Lepisosteus oculatus: one gene and its partner. The protein of the gene in region 1 interacts with the protein of each later gene in a pairwise test. Links are inferred from orthologs where the notes say so. Each region holds a gene or a part of one and is shown on either strand. Other genes may lie near its edges.

What was found.
Region 2: the proteins of ndor1 (region 1) and ciapin1 interact in binary tests that used the Homo sapiens proteins (3 or more experiments, as listed by UniProt). The two-hybrid records come from large-scale screens. The link is inferred for Lepisosteus oculatus from reciprocal best matches to the Homo sapiens genes NDOR1 and CIAPIN1.

Annotation. Positions count from the first base shown.
Region 1 is NC_090719.1:2,813,502-2,821,943, reverse strand, and holds the start of ndor1 (NADPH-dependent diflavin oxidoreductase 1), read left to right. Parts: upstream 1-4,947; 5' UTR 4,948-5,011; coding exon 5,012-5,189; intron 5,190-5,289; coding exon 5,290-5,479; intron 5,480-5,684; coding exon of another isoform or gene 5,685-5,847; intron 5,848-7,265; coding exon 7,266-7,343; intron 7,344-7,471; coding exon of another isoform or gene 7,472-7,587; intron 7,588-7,940; coding exon of another isoform or gene 7,941-7,943; exon of another isoform or gene 7,944-8,087; intron 8,088-8,442. Other genes in the region: slc2a8 (solute carrier family 2, facilitated glucose transporter member 8), read right to left, coding at 49-194, 982-1,164, 1,843-1,951, 2,917-3,066, 3,691-3,902, 4,219-4,318, 5,685-5,847, 7,472-7,587 and 1 more. UniProt on the Homo sapiens protein: NADPH-dependent reductase which is a central component of the cytosolic iron-sulfur (Fe-S) protein assembly (CIA) machinery.
Region 2 is NC_090715.1:12,268,891-12,277,364, forward strand, and holds the start of ciapin1 (anamorsin), read left to right. Parts: upstream 1-4,593; 5' UTR 4,594-4,674; coding exon 4,675-4,922; exon of another isoform or gene 4,923-4,942; intron 4,943-5,008; coding exon 5,009-5,078; intron 5,079-6,670; coding exon 6,671-6,836; intron 6,837-7,641; coding exon 7,642-7,791; intron 7,792-8,474. Other genes in the region: coq9 (ubiquinone biosynthesis protein COQ9, mitochondrial), read right to left, coding at 503-556, 1,526-1,681, 1,909-2,013, 2,154-2,238, 2,774-2,886. UniProt on the Homo sapiens protein: Component of the cytosolic iron-sulfur (Fe-S) protein assembly (CIA) machinery required for the maturation of extramitochondrial Fe-S proteins.

The DNA of each region.
Region 1 (8,442 bases):
TGTCGCACAACGCCCGAACCCCGGGTGTCGCTGGCCCCCCCCGCTCACCATGAGGTTGTGGAACTCCTTGGTCACCAGGAAGGCCGAGGTCCAGTTGGTCAGCACGCAGGCCCCGCTGGCCAGCCCCCGGGCTTTCGCCGGGAAGATCTCCGACATCACCAGCCAGGGGATGGGGCCCCAGCCCAGGGCGAAACCTGGGGCACGGGGGAGAAACGCAGAAGGTGAAGGAGAGGTGGGGCGGTACAGCAGCTCCCGGCCCCGGGTTCTATTCAGCTATTCTAGTGTGCCGTCTGTGTGGAGTTTGCACGTTCTTTCCACTTCATGTAGGTTTCCTCCCACAGGCCAGAGACGCGCTGCCTTCTGGGACAACTGGCCCCGGCGCGAGTGTCTGTGTGTGCCCCGCGATAGACTGGCGTCCCATCCAGGGCGTGCCCTGCCTCGCGCCCGGTGCTTGCTGGGATAGATTCCGACTGCCCCGCGATCCTGAATTGGAATAAGCGGTTTGAAGAAGGGGGGGCGTCCCAACGAACGGGGTCACCAGCGCCCCCAAGCAGGAACTACTCCAGCCATCCGGCTGGCAAGGTTGGGTTCTGAACGCGTCGTGGGGGCCGTGGCGTTTGGACGCTCGCGCCTCCTGACGCTACGCAGTAGGCGTTCGGATCTGCCCGCAGAGCTACTGCGTTTCAGTGGCCGCAACGTGAAAAATAATGACGGAGGAATAGCCCGGTCCTTTTTCGACCCTCTTGTTTTTAAATGAAAAATCATAGAATACACCCGAGTGCAGGTCACAATTCTCTAAACTGGGGTGTGTGAGAAGGAGGCGGGGTGAGTGCGAGGCATCCCATAATGCACTGTGGGGCTCAGGGTGACCATGGGTGGGAGCAGCGTGGGCACAGTCCCGTTCCCGGATTTTCTCTGCGAACGCGAATCTTGAGAAAAAAGAACCCTGGTTTTGGAGGCCAAGTCTTCCTGAGGCTGTACCTGCGATGAAGAGCCCCATGCTGGCCAGGGCCAGCCAGGCCAGGCTGCCCTCAGAGGGGGGCAGCGCAGAGCTCTGGGCGGCCAGGAGGGGGACCCCGCTCAGAGAGGAGCCGTTGGTGGGCGCGGCGCTGGTGATCTTGAAGTACGCCCCAAACACGGCCGTGCTGACCGCCATGGCCAACCCTGCGGACACACGGTGGGGGAGAAGGACAGCCAGCATTACCATCACCAGCCCGGGGGGGGGGCGCTCAGTCCTGGGCAATGCAGGGGTACCGGGGGTTCAAGTCTCCAGCACAGATATTGCTGTGGACATTGTACCCCACATGAGCCAGGTACTGCACCCCGAATGCTCCAGTCAGCCCCACGTGTATACAGGAATATCGGCATTACTGACAATGGACTAGCGCCCTCTACAGGGCAAGACTTGGAACTCTGCTTAATACAACACAAAGACAATTTGTTAATTGGATCTTCCCTGCAAGCCCAGTACAATACCAATCACACACTGTGCGTAACAGTGTAACCCCAGTGTCCTGGCCAGATTCCCCCCTGGCCTTTACCAGTCATGGCCTCCTAATAACCCCCCTCTCTGCTCTCCTCCCTCTGAGAGCTGGTGTGTGGGGAGCGGACTGAGGCACTCTGGCTGCCATCGCATCATCAAGGTGGGGGGGGGTTACACATTGGTGGTGACAGTGGGATTGCCCATTCCCTGTAAAGTGCTTTGAGTGGAGTATCTAGAAAAGCGTGGTGTAAGTGTAAGGGTATAATTACGATTAATTATTTAACTGCTGGTGCTTTGCAGGATCAATGTAACAGTCTGCGTTAAAAGTCAGAGACCGCATCGGCCCCGGAGAGACTCACCCGAGAGGACGAGCAGGACTTTCCTCCCGGCCCGGTCCATGATGAGCGCCGCCAGGGCCGTGAAGACCACCTGGATGGCAGCCACGATCACCGTGGCGACGCTGCTGGCCTTTTGAAACAAACAAAAAAAAACAACCCGCCGTTAAGCTCATGGCACCGATCCCTGGAATCCGGCCTGCGGATCGATCCGGCGGGGCTCCCTCGGCCGTCTACAGCCTTGGGAGATGCCTCCCCCCACCTCCCGGTCCTCCAGCCAGAGCAGGGAGGGGAGGGGGGGGGTGTTCCCGCACATGGCCGGCCCGAAAGTCGAGTACGGAGCTCGAGAAATATGTCCTTCCCCATCGAAGGAGCGGCACCCGGCATGCAACGTACTGCACCACGGTCGCCGGTCAGCACTCCGTAACCATCCGGGTTCTTCCCCCCCCAGGACACCGCAGTGGGGAAACTGCGGACAGCGGAGCGATATTTGAGTACGTTGGGCTGCTGTTCCCAACACCAGCCTGGACACGGCACCCTGAGGGGATGCCTATGGAATTTACAGGCGGTCACGGACTACTCCGGAAACACGGGGACGTCTGCGAACAAGGATGCTGGGTTCTGGCACCAGACTTGAGGTTTACTCATTAACAGTGACACAGGCTCTCCCTCGTTAACCTTCTCCTGGCTGACTTCAGTTCGTTTCTTGAGCTGAAGATGAGCGTCCAAGCAAAGGAACGGAAATATCGAGGGAACTGGTAAAACGTTGACAACGCCCACGGGGGATGTCCACCGCACTCTGCCGCACCCGGCCAACGCGGAAGGGAAAACGGGAGGCGTCAGCGGAGCTCGTTCGGGCGCGGCCACGCCATCTCCCTCCTCGTGCGTCGCAGGGACCTCAGCCACCTGGGCTGGGGGGGGGTCTCCTTTAGCTCACTCGGCTGGTTCCCTGTGGCGTCACGCCGGGAGACCCGGGTTCGCGCCCCAGGTGTTGCGGGACGAACTGGCGGGGTGGGGTGGAGGGGCGAGGGCGACACGAGGAGCCCAGACTGTGTCTGTGGCGTGACGGCAAAGGGGGGGAGGGCGAGGGGCAGCTACCTGGAAGTTTGCTTCTTCGAAAATGGTCTCGGCGTAGAACATGATGGCGTTGATCCCCGTGAGCTGCTGGAACAACATCAGCAGGACCCCGATGAGCAGGGGCTTGTAGATGGCAGGGCTCCTCAGGTCTCCCAGCTTGAGGCTGTCGCCCTGCGACACCCGAGGGGGTGGGAGGGAGGGAAACGCGTTAAACAGCAAATGGGGCCCAGACAGACGGCATGCAAACAGCGTGGCGCAACTCAGCGCCGCTCTCCGCTGCACTGAGCGTGCACCCCGAGGCCGGGACAGGCTGAACAGGTGTAAGAGGGGCCAGCAGGGGGCGCTCACCCTGCAGTCTGCGTGGGCCCTAATGCCCCAGTACAGTGACGGGGACACTATACTTGTCCTTCGGATGAGATGTAAAACTGAGGTTTTGACTCTCTATGGTTATTAGAAATCCCAGGGCGTTTCTCAAAAAGAGTAGGGGTGTCCTGGCCAAATTTCCCCCTGGCCTTTACCAATCATGGCCTCCTCATAATCCCCGTCTCTGAACTGGCTTCATCACTCTGCTCACATCCCCACTGAGAGCTGGTGTGGGGGGAGCGTACTGGCGCCTCATCCAGGTGGGGCTGCACATTGGTGGCGGCAGTGGGATTCCCCATGACCTGTAAATCGCTTTGAGTGGAGTGTCCAGAAAAGTGCCATATACAGCAAGTGTGAGGGATTAATAATGATAATAATATCATAACTTCATCTTTACAGTCTTGGCAAGGTGCCCCCCCCCCCCCGACTCACCTGCTCCCGCGCCGCGGCCTCGATCTGCACGCACTCCCACTCGTGCGGCACGGCCGGCCCCCTCAGGAAGCGCAGGGCCGCCAGCGCCTCGTACTCCCTCCCCTGGGCCAGCAGGAAGCGCGGCGTCTCGGGCATGAAGCACATGAGCACCAGCATCAGCGCCGGCGGCACCGAGCACGCCACCGCCAGCCAGCGCCACTCCAGCACCAGACCTGGGCGGGGAGAGACGCAACCGGGTCGCTCGTTACCACGCCACTCCCCGCCTCGTGGATCGGATCGGGACCAGAGGGGGGGGCAACGACAGCCAGGTAAACCCCACCAACAGCACAGAGTGATCCCGTCTCTCCGTTCAGCCGCGAGGTGAAAACCAAACTCCGGGATGGCACGGGTGCGAACAAGGAGTCTGAGACTCAAGAGTCTTGTGAGAACACGGTTCGTACCCCAGTCGCAAGGCACAGAGAGCGGAAAGGAGGACAGGAAGCGCACCACGGGGGGGAACAAAGAAAACGGACAATCCGAACGGTTTACCTGCGATGTACGCTCCCATGATGCCCGTCACCACCATGAGCTGAACGCAGGATCCCAGCATGCCCCGCACCCGGGCGTGAGCCGTCTCCGCGATGTACAACTGGGGGGGCAGACCGTGCGATCAGTGAAGCAGACGTAGCGGCAGCACTCAGAATTCAAGCGTCGTTAAAGGTTTCGAAACTTCCCGTTGAGCTGACAAACCCCCCCACCCCCACCCCCAGGCCATACCCTGGGCCTCTGTGCAGAGCGCTAGGAGCCCGCGGGGCAGAGAACGACACTTCACCCGATATTTAATTCAACTTTCATGCCGCCCGCCCGGTAACCGCGGCAAGGCCCAGGGATGCTGGGAAACCCGCTGCTCGGGTTTGTCCGCTGGCCTCCCCCGGCAACTGTTTCCAACGGAGCCGTTTTTCCCTGCAATCGGACGCGTTCAACTCTCCTGAAACCCAAACTCGACCTCTTTGGAGGGAAAAAGAGCAGCCCCCCCCCTCCCTTCTGGCAAAACTATTAAACAGACCCCTTTTATTACTATAATGTTATCTCTGCAGAGGCACTACAAACGAACAACTGACCCCCTTATTAATATGCATTAATAAGGAATTTACATACGAGAACAAAGTGGTTTTTCATATCAGACAAGACATAAGTCATTGGCCTCATTAAGACTGCTAATATGTTCTGCGTCACTGCGTTTACTCTCATTATCCCTGCTGCTGCTTTACATACAGGCACTGCTAAGGACGTCACCCCGCTGGCCAGTCCGGTCAGGACCCGTCCGAGGTACAGCATCCAGATGTTCTGCGCGGAGATGATGATGTTGAAGCCGAGGATGAAGGGGACGGCGCAGACCATGAGGCTCAGCTTCCTCCCGATCCTCTCCACCACCCAGCCGCCCAGCACCCCCCCCGCCGCCGCCCCTAGAGTGACCACGGACTGGGGACGCACACGGGGAGACACGGACAGGCGCGGAGGTCAGAGGTCAGAGGTCGAAGGTCCAGGCGGCAGGAGTTTTTAACCCTTTCCGGCCTGAATTTTCGTCTTGGTGTAAAAAACTGGCGGTGTGTGTTTCAGGGTTAAAGAAAACGAGTCGTCCGTCACTCTGTACTCCAGTGTTACCCAGAACCCAGAAAAAACTCTGCCCCGACGCACCCCACTTTCAAATCCGCCACCCGCCCAGGAATCCCAGGAAGAGCTGGTGTTTTCCCAGCACTGCCTTCGGCAAACACAGCTCAGCGCCTGGGGACGCGTCTGCTTTCGGAAGGTAAGACTCAATAATAATAATAATAATAATAATAATAATAATAATAATAATTTTTAACTTATAAAGCACCTTTCCAAAGCTCGAGGACGCTTTGCAAACGCTTCTCTGTCCTGTGCAAGGGAGACGCACTGATCGGCCTTATTACAGATCAATTTTCGATCCCCTGCCCCTTAAATCGAGCGCACCCAGAAAAAGAAAGCCCTACCCCGAACCAGGACGCCTCCTCGTCGTCCAGCTGCAGGCGGGGGTCCCCGGCCCTCTTGAGGCTGGGGATGGCGGGGGAGCTGTAGCCCAGCACGAAGCCGAAACTGAGGGGCCCGAGCACGGCGGCGAAGGTGGCCAGGAACAGGTTCCCATTCTGGACCTGACTGGAAAACACAGCATCGGCTCAGGGGGGCACAGCAGGATTTGAACACGCAGGTTTTCTCCACAGAGGGGGGGGTTGGATCAGTCACGGGGCTTGGCGTTGGGGAGGGGGGGGGCATTAATAAAATATAACTGCTTACACTTAGATAGCGCTTTTCTGGACTCTCCACTCAAAGAGCTTTACAGGTAATGGGGGATCCCACTACCGCCACCAGTGTGCAGCCCCACCTGGATGATGTGCCAGTCCGCTCCCCAAACACCAGCTCTCAGTGGGGAGGAGAACAGAGTGATGGAGCCAGTTCAGAGAGGGGGGTTATTAGGAGGCCGTGACTGGTAAAGGCCAGGGGGAAATTTGGCCAGGACACTGGGGTCAGTGTAGGTCATTCTTTCAAACCAAAGACCTAGTCGCTCTGCTCCGGACCGCTTCCAGAGCAGCGCTGCCTTTTCTGGACTGCGGTGATCAAAATCCTATCAACGCACAACATTCTAAACTGACGGGTTATGTAGAGTTTTAACAATACGCTTGTCGATCCAGGTTCTACCGTTTTAACTGCGCTGTATGTCCTGACTGCGCCTTCGCTATTGCAGCGCGGGAGGTGACGAGCGTGGCTCACGCACGTCTGAGACGGCATCCTGTCTCACCGGTTACACAAGCACCGCTACGTTAGCGGCCGTTAGCGGGCAAAGAGAACGCTACAGCGCACAGCAGCAGACAAAGGACAATCAACTGTTTTCCTGAACTTCAAGGGAAACACAGGCAAAGGTTCTGAACGCCTCTTTATGCAGTTAAATGAGTCAGGGAATTTATTAATGATTGACGAGAGTAACACATTGTACGTGCACACCCCAGATGCTGTAATACTGCTTTTTTTGTTTTGTTTTCCCAAGTCATCTGTTTGGTCTGGATGCCAAGTAAGGATAATTTATTTTAAAGAAATGAAAACAAGACCCGGAGCAATCAATTGCTCATTAAGGGAGGGGGGAGAAGGGGAAAAAGAAATATGAAAAAAGACCTGAATAAGCTTGGCTTCCCCCCCACGTTTTTCCCGACAAAGATTTTTGGTGCAGCCTACTCCAGGACCTCAAACACGACCCCTAATGGTCAAAGCGTCTTTGTGGGACAGTGTAGGTGAACTATCACATGTGAATCACATGACTACAGCATTTCTCTGCGGGGGGGGCTGCCACTGACCTAAATACCGTCAGGTTTTAGTTCAAGCTACATACTTGAGCTCTAAATTACCATCGACAGGGGTGACGCCAAGCGCCCACCTGACAAGAGGAGCGTCTTTCGCCAGCCTGCAAATTTAGAGGACCGCGCACCGGCTTGGGGGGGGGATCGACATCGTGTTTTCGGTTTATCGGCACCCACAACAGCGCCGATGGCCGATGATAACCTCTTCACTTCTGTATTTTACAGCTCGCCCCATAAAGCAGAACTGGCAAGTCAGGGTTTCGATCCTCTCGCCTCACTGTCGACGAGAATTCACCCCCCGAGGTATAAACCGCTATACCGGACTATCTCACCCAAGGGGCAAGCTGAGCAAACGCCGGCCACCCTTAACGCCGGGGCATTTTCATTTTGAACTGTAATAAACGAGGCACCCCCCAGATGCTCGTACTTACTCGAGGTAGCCCTCCCGGGTGCTGTCCGCCTCGGACAGAGGCGGCGAGTTCACGCCTCCGCGCCCGGCCCCCAGCAGCGCCTCCTGTTCCTCGGACTGCTCCATCCTTCGGGACGCCTTCGATACAAAAAACAAAATACAGACAACGAATGAACCGGGGCCTCCCAACACGCCTTCCCGGCAACGGGTTTGGCAGAAACGCGGCGACCCGAGCTCCTGGGCTTTGCGGTAGCCCAAGGCTGTCCCGGCGACCGGCGCAGATGCGCGTCGTGCCGTGCCGTGCCAAAACCGTGCCGTGCTTACTACCATTAAGGGTCGACGGAGCTAGCCAACGTCGTTTTCCCGTGGCGTGCCAAGCAAGCACGCCGTGTGCGGCAACAACAACAACAACAACATCAGAGCATTGAAGAAGAGCTCGGAGTGCTTCTCCAGGTGTCAACTACGAGGAGACAGGGCAGGCGACAGATTACCATTCACCAGCCGCAGACGTGCCCAGGACGTTTAGCTAATTTCATTGTGGGCTGTTTGCCTTCTCTCCTCCTCCTGCTGCTGCTGCGAACTCGGGTGCAGACAGCCTGGGGCGCAAGCGGGGCTTCTCGTCAGCTGACGAAGCTCTGGTGAGCGAGCGAGGCAAACAAAGCCGGAAACAGAGTCGGGAATCCCTGCTGGGGAAGCGGTGCATTCTGGAACTTGTAGTTGTAGTGTGGGGCGAGTATGAATTGCAGCACGGTCCTTTTTCCGCGCGGAAACGTAGGGAAATAGAATTGTTGAATCCCCGTGAGGGCACTGTTAGCTTTGTATCGATAAAGGAGAGCACTCCCTTCTTTTCTTGACACACCCAACGAGGTGTAACCTTTTTTTGTTGTTGTTTGACCCCTTAGGTTTTAAAAATCTTAAAAATGAATCGTGTTGATAGCTAAAAATAAGTTTATTTTTGCCGAATTGTATCATAGTATTTGGAACTTTTTTCAT
Region 2 (8,474 bases), on another chromosome or scaffold:
AAGGATAAAGTGTCCCAGGTCCAGTCTGGTTCTCTTTGTCCTCTTCAAACTCAGTCTGTGCAATGAAATACAAATCTTCTTTCAACTAAAAAATAGCAGCCAAAATGAACATGGATCTGGAATGAAGAGTGAAAAACACATGCTAAGCTGCATTAATTTAGCTTGCATTTGTTTCACTTCATGTAAAATTCTCTGTTCTGACCACTTAACTGAGATTTGGAAATTTCCAAATTAATTAATTAAGGCTAAATTAAATCAAAGAAAGAAAACAAAAGCAAAAAAACTAAAATGGTGATTGGTCTAAATTAAATCAATTAAAGACTGCAAATATCAAACCCTGTAAGTGCTTTTTGTTTTATACATATTTCCTTCCTTCTCCCAAAGCAAACTGGTTAAATGGTGTGATCCTTACACACACTGCTTGGAGTGAGAGTCCAAAAAATAGCCATCTGATACTAGGAAAATTGCTGAGATGAACCAGTGAGCAAGAGAAACAACTTACAGTGATGGCAGCTCCCATAATCCCCTGTACCACAGCTTCCCCAGTGGATTTAACCTGTAAAGACATAGGCCGACCATCAGCAAAGTACACAAAGCAAACCTGTGTAGTGATATCTACTGTACCATATGTACAGCCACGTAGCCATGCTGCAAACTGAACAGTGAATAAAGACCAAACTAAGAGGACAAATAATTCCAATGTTTTCATAGCAACACATTAGTTACAAAAAGATTTGTCAGAGGGCATTCTGGAGAGGTCAGTCTTTCAAACTTGGAGCATGTGTTACCTAAAACACTGTTAAATGAACAAATGAGAAATTCACAAAACAGTACCACTGAGATCCAGACTCCAGCAGGGTTCCTGCTCTCAGCACCTCTAATGCTACAGAACTGCAAGGTAAAATAGCCAAGCTCATTGCCCAGATCCTGCAGTCTGAAGCTTGGTCATTACTGGGAAAATTTGATTGCCATGAGAGTGTTGTGCATGATTCCAGAGTATCACAAGTTCTGGAGGTTCTGCTTTTCATCTGACCTGTGCTCTCAGCTTAGAACACGAGAAAGGTTACAAACAAGACTAGGACATTTGGTTCATGCTGCCCATTTGGTGGTCAGCAGTTAATTGATCCAAAGATCTCATCCTAGCGTTTCTTTAAAGAAACCTGGGTATCAGTTGCACCAGTGTGGATGGGTGTCTCGTTCCAGGCTTCCACATCACTCTGGGTAAAGAACTGCCTGCTGGTCTCAATTTTAAATGCACTTCCACCTAGTTTCCACCTGCGTGTCCTCTGGTTCGTGTTTCACTGTTCATTCAGCTTCTAAGCACAAGAACAAACCTATTCAATCATCCGCAGGGATGTTTCCCAGTTCTTTAACACCTGAGGAGTTAAAGACCAACTAAAAAAGCTAGTTGCTTATGGGTCTCTGCATCAGGTGAAGAATTCTTCAGAGCTGGGGAACAATACCAGGGAGGCGGTCAGAGCACATGTGGTCAAAAAGATGTGTGTTTTCCCTCAGGGATCAGCACCTGCTGGGCAGTGTTGGCCATGTTCATCACGTCTTTAATGCGGTTGTCCAAGAAGGTCCAGGTGTCCTGGAAGTCGGGAGAGGAATCCTGAACCATCACCAGCTCTGTGGTGTTATAGATGCCGGTCAGGGCTGCACGTCGTGTGTACCAGTTCAGCTGTGGGCACACAATCACACCACTTACCAGACTGGCACAGAAGAACACTACAAAAAGTTACAGATTCATCTAGGTTGTCTGGTTCACCCTTCTCATTTAGTTGTCAAAAGCAGTGTGTAGTGGGGATGCTAAAATTATAGCATTATTAATCACCTAATCGTGCTACAGCAGTGAGAGATCATGGCCATGTTTGGAAACATGCTGCAGAATGACGTGACCGCACTCACATCAGTAGAGCGGTCCCCGGCGTAGTACCAGATGTCATCCACCAGGGTGGACAGGTGCTTCAGGCTCTCAGGGATGTTCTGGGGCAGCAGCAGGATGCTCATGGCCTGGCGACGGGGAGGGAAAAAGAATACCATTTTTCAGGAGAACAGCTACACCTCCCGTTCCAAAAAAACTCCCCCCTCGTCCTAGGACTGCCGTCAGCCATGAAATCAGAAGCTCCTTTCCCCAGTACACAACACAGTACCTGCGGCCAGGTTTCGATGTATGGGATGAGCATGCGTAGTCTCATTTCCACTGCTTCTCTCAGAAACTCAGCAGGCTTCTTTGACCTGACACAAAAACACACCCACACTTTTACCCACACAAAGACCACAAAGAAGCTGCACACTGGGTCAGTTGCAACATGTTGTTGAAGAACAGCTGATTGGGGACAAACATGTGTTCAATATTTGCATTCAGGAGGAGAGTCCCTTTGTCCTTTCACTCTGTGTGTTATTCTTGAATTTTATGACTGTGTGTTTAAGAGATAACAGACAAGACTATCCCTAGCATTAAATGATTGTCTCAAACAGAGAAGATCCACAGTTGTCAGAACAATAAATGGGTATACAAGGCCCTGCCACTTTGAAACAAGCAGTTTTCACATGGGTAATAGGTATGAAACTCCAAGCACCAAAAAGTGAGCAATGTCAAAAAGCCGCAGCATCTGAGAAAAAAAAAGACCATTTCCTCATTTCTGGAAATAGGTTATTACTCCCTTCCAGAACAACTAGGCACACTGCAAGAGTGCAGCAGCCACTGTCCCGATCACACAGCACACCACAAACACCCGCAGGCTTGGACTGGGTGGGGGGGGTGACTCACTCGGCCTGGCCCAGCTGGACCTGCTTGTGCTGCTCCGCCAGACTGTCGGCCAGGCGGGTGTTACACTGAGTGATGAAGTGCAGGACTAGGTCTCCGGCGCCGTTGGTGAACATCCCTGCAGCTGCTGCGGACAGACCCAGAGCCTGACAGACCAAGAGACAGAACGCAATGGTCAGTGATGAGTCTATCATCCTCATCCTCTGACTACAGCAAGCTGCTCTCTGTAACTGAAGAAATGGGACAACAGTTTCTTTCATTTATGTCTTATTCCCTAAACCTTCTTTTAATACTATTATTAATATTTCATTATTAAGTGTTAAAGAAAACTCCAAACCTACAATAACATCTGTCATACTATAACCAATAAAGATAGATGCATGCAATGTTTTCTTCCAAGAAATGCATTATAAAATGCGTGATTAAAATAATGTTTCACGGAATGCCTCCATGTGAGTGGTTTGCATTAGCACCTCGAGTGTTTGCTCAAGCTCTGTGGAAGCCCTCTCACGGGCCGGCGCATGTGCACACATGCTCAAGGGCACACATACATGCGCGCTCCGGGATCACCTGTGCTCCCGCCGCGATCGCGTCCACTGACCAACCGTGCTGCGGCACAAAGTCGAGTGCGGCCGCGAGGATGCGGCTCTGCAGCTGCTCCTCCGTCTCGTAATCCTCCCCCTGCTCGCCGCTCTGGTCTGCATAGCTGCACAGACACACACGAAGGCAGTGGGAGTGAGGGTCTGCCGCTGCACAGAACCACCACCTGCTACACTAACGGCACCTGAGCAGTCCCCAGCCCATAAATATAAAGGAAAATGTAGGGGCTCAAAAAGAAATGGCTGAAGATATCCCATTTGCAATGGCAAAGTGGGAACCTATCCACTAACAATCAACATATGTTAACACGTGAGCCAGCTACACGCTATCCATATGGAATATTCCTTTCACAACAACATCCAAATCCAGTACAGATAAGAGAGCCCAGACACAGCCAGTCCAGGCTGGGAGCAGACCTGGTGTTAGTCTGTGAGGACTCGGAGCCAGGTGACGCCTGGTAGTGCTGGTGATAAGAGGAGGAAGAGGCTGTCTGCTCCTGCTTGGAGTCCTCCTGCAATCTCAGCAGCGCAGCTCTGTGGAAACGCCTCTTCACATGGGGACACTGGCTTCTGTGTGCTAGGTAGGCAAGGAGAGAAGAATTGCACAGGATTTTTAAATGCTGGTGCCTTTGTGAAGCCTCTAGGAGAGCAAGCTGAAGGTAAGGGGGTTTAAACTTGGCTTCTCTTAAAACGAGCATTTTCTCCGAGCATCCTGGAGCGGAGGTGTTTTCGGTTGTTTGCGTCAGGCGACCGGAGATGGTATTGTTCTAACTGCAAACATTTCCAGCTCTACGTTTCATGACATCACTGTCTTTACAGGTCATTGACTGACGTACTTTATACATTTCCTTGACTGCCCCCACGCTAAGCTTGTAAACAAAGTGTTGTCACAAAGGCGCAACTCGCATTTAGCGATAGGTAGGCATAGAAACTACGGGAACGTAAAAAGAACTAAAACAATATACATTTGGCGTTCGCCGTAAGAAGAAATCAAAACAATATACGCGGGGTTCGTCTGTTTAACTTTCCAGTTGTTTTAGTTACACAACAAGTATGTAACTACGAGTCGTCACGGAACAAATGTATAACGCACTGCTACATTAATATATCTTACACTGATCAGGATTTATCAATTGATCAGTTTACACGTATATGTGTTATATGCGCGCATTAAAACAAAAACAATTGTTTCATTAAAACTCTGAATCCATAGGAACAACAATGCAGACTGTCCTTCACGATCACCTTGCTAGTCTCAGATTCAGACCCAGGTTCCAGAGGGGTCACCAGACTACCAGCAGGAACATGTTGCCCGTCCCGCACCCCAGATCGGAGGCTATAACCCCAGTCCCAGCCCGCCGGATTCTCCCTCTCTCACCAGTTCGCAAGGCCCACAAAACCCTCCCGGCTCTCCAACCTCTGAGCAGCGCCGCCATATCCCACCACAACTGCCGCACGTCATTCGCTTGCGACTCTTTCAGTCTCCGGCCGCCTCTCGGTAAAGACGTCAGCGATCTTCCCGGCTTCGGATCGGCAGAAGAAGAGAGAGCCGAGTAAGCGAAGTGTTGGCTAGGTTTGTTACAAAAACCGGTCTTTATCTTACCGTGTTTCAGTAAGATTAATATAATACTCTGCGCAGGTTCACTCATAAAACATCGTTGGACGAGAGTTGTATGTCAGTTCATAACCAAGGACAACTGAAGATTCAGGTAAGTGGAAAGGTCGTGTGATATATCGAATTCATTAGAATGGTTTGAACTACGATTTGTTTGCTGGGGGCCGCTACATGTCCAGAGACATTTTATGATTAGTGTAGATCATCACGTTTGGTCCGAACACAGTTTCTTCAGCTATGATTCTTTGATGATAAGCATCGTGTTTCTGTGAAATGAGAAAGGGAATTCTGCTCTGATACAGCTCACTCAGGATAAGTGCAGCTAAAATCAACATTGGTTGAAAGGCATGCTACAGATTACAAATAAATCTATTTTGTAGCTCTACCGCACACGATGGGAGTTTTGGGACGTGACACAACCTGAATAAGCACGTGATCTGTGCGTTAAGGGCTTTGTCTTGAGTGTACTTGTACAGCCGGAATCTGCTTTTCTCTCTATTTTTTTACCGAACGTGAAATGTTACTGCTTAACTAGACTCCCTGTAGTTTTAATCGCTCAAATGCCGGCGGGATGGGGTTCGGAAGGGACATTTAATTGGTGCCCCCGCTCAGATTCGGATTTGTAAGGCGATTGGAGTGGGTTGCAGTAAAAGCAACTGCGTCTGGAGAAGCTTGTTTACATGCTGCGATCTCAGTCCCGACGTCGACACTGTCAGCCAGCTTCTTTACAAACGCCTGAGGAAAACAGATAAAAACTGAAACCAATAGGAACGTCTCTCGAATCACCCTGAAGCGCTGACTCACTTCTGCACCTGTCCTCTAATTATCCAGGCTGACGGGGAGGTTTTTCAAAGCATAATACGGTCTCAAAATATTCTTCTCGTGTGGGAAATTAAATTTGAAGGTTAAATGACAACAGACAATGAATTACTGTCTTTTGATAATTTTGGAATTTTATAAGAATTTAGAGAGTTAAGATCTCGGCACTGCAGGAAAAAAATCAATTTTGAATGTTGTCCTGTTAGTTTCACGCTGGATGTCTTAATTTGGGCCCTTTCGGTTTTCACTGGCATCTCTACACCAGTGTGGCCAGTTGACTGGGCCTGTATTCGACATCTGAAATCGACAAGAAGCTTGTGAAACTTAAGCTCAGCTGCACGACGGTCTGATCCAAATACAAACCCAAGTATCGTAAAATCTGATGCAGGCGTGATTGAGATGCACAATGGAAGGTTTTGAAAACACCCTTTTTTAATTATCAGCTATAAATTGACCAGGGTTAACTGGAAAACTGGCTACCAATTACTGAAGGCAATTACAGCTAGCAGTTGTGTAGGGTTTACCATGGCCCTAAGATTCTGGACACAGGCTCATATTAGAGCTCACTGATGTAAATACTTAAATATAATTTTTTTAACAATTCAGTTTATTATTCTAATTTAATTCTGAGCAGAAGACCTCAGGACTTATGAGCTCTAGCACCCTTCATTTTCAGGTCCTGGATAGTCATGCTAGTTGCTCAAGACTAAAGTTTTGAGTTCTGTGAATCTGTCTGTTTAGGGCAGTCCGTTAGGGCTGGGAATTTCCTTCTGTGGACCTAACAGCATTGCTTGTCTTGTGAGTTTGAAACCTTCGTCCGGGGACTGGAGGTCTGAGACTGAGCAGTCTTTTCGGCTGTGCCTGCAGGACAGAGGTATGGCAGAGCTGGGCGTGCAGGCAGGGCAGAGCCTGCTGCTGATGTGGGGTCACCCATCCAGCCCCACGGCAGTGAAGGAGCAGGTGGAGAGCCTGCAGAAAGCAGTGGGATCCCAGGGCAAGGTGGCAATAGAAAACATTGACAGACTACGGCTGTGTGAGTATTACTTCACAAACCCATGTTAACTTTAAAAAGGCTCAGTAGCTCTGGGCACACTATAGGAGCTGTACCACATAGAGGCAGTACAAGCAGTTGATTCATTTCTGCATTTGGAAGCCTTTTGAAGAATCATGGTGTGAAACCTGTTTTTGTTTTTTGAAGAGTGTAGCAGCATTTTGTACCTGTTGCTACTGTTCAGAGAGCCGATGTATTTAGTAATGCCCCCATATGTGGGAATTTTCCACTTGAGGTCCCTTGACATACCCCACTTTCCTGCCTGGGGTATTGTCAGCCTAATTGTTTAAAAATCTGTCTTGGGCATTTCGGAATGCAAAATCCAGGAGTCGCTGTGTTGGTGTCAGGTGCTTTTGAGCTTGGTGTTGTGTCACCTGTTTATGACCTGATTGTCAAGACTTTTCGTTTTTGTATGGCTACATTTCAAAATGAAATTATCCAACATAATTCTAGTTAATTCATAATTCCTAGGGCATTTAATTCTAATACTAATGCCTGAATCACGTATTATAATATGTCCCCATGTCTAAAAAAGATAGCAACTACTCATTTAAATTTTGTATCCATAGTCCTGAAACAAACAGATTTTTTCATTTTTTTGTGATTTTCTGTTCAGTAAAAATATATATGTTTGTTTTGAAAATCAATGAAAGTTGTCCATAATTACTGCATCGTCCATGAAGGTGAGCTTTATACCCACTGGCCACATCATTTAGCCAAATGAATGACGTTCTGACATAGCTGGACTGGAATCATAGAATCTCCTGATCTTCTCCTGTCCCTGCAGCCTCTCACCCGGAGTCCAGCTTCCACTGGGTCCTGTCCGGCCTGCTGCCGGACAGCACTGTCATCCACAGCTCAGAGACCTTGGCGGAGATCGGCCGAGTGCTGAAGCCAGGCGGAAATGTCATCCTGGAGGAGCCTGTCTCGGCCTCAGGTGAGTCTCCAGGCAACCAGGGCCTGTGTGTCCCAGCTTATTTCCCACTGCAGGGCCACTCCAATCACTCACCATAAAGTCAATCCCGGACTGATGTGGATGGAAATGTTCCCTCATCCCTCAAGTCCCCAAGAAAATTTTCCATGTTTTGTGAATTGTGACAGTATTTTAAGAAAAGTTACTGATTTATATATTGTAAGCAAAAATAAGTCAGGTATTACAAATAACAAATAGCTTCTATGTTTTACTCCCTTTGACATAAAGTACCTTTGCTCTCCTTTTGAGGTTAATTGTTATGTTTTTTTTCCCAGAAAGAGGAAAAAAAGTTGTTGTTAAAATAGCTGTTTGGGCTCCAAGCACCCCTGAGCGGGAATGATTTAACAGACTGCAGCTGATACACACAGGAAAGCACTTTGCGTGAAAGGTAGCAGGTGCTGGAGGGCCCAGGACATGGCCAGGGACCTCCTGCTTTGAAGCCTGCTTCCGCTGTCTATGGACAGGAGCTGGCCAGGAGCAGGAGTCTAGATTTTCATCTTGTCTTGATATGGGGACAGAGATGGAAGGAAGGCTATATGAGCCCGTTGCAGCTGACGCTGAGCGACCAGGTGGAGGAGACGAGATTCAAAATGAGTGGCGCAGACAAACCAGGGCCGAGAGTCTGCTGTGTGATGATGTGGGAGTCC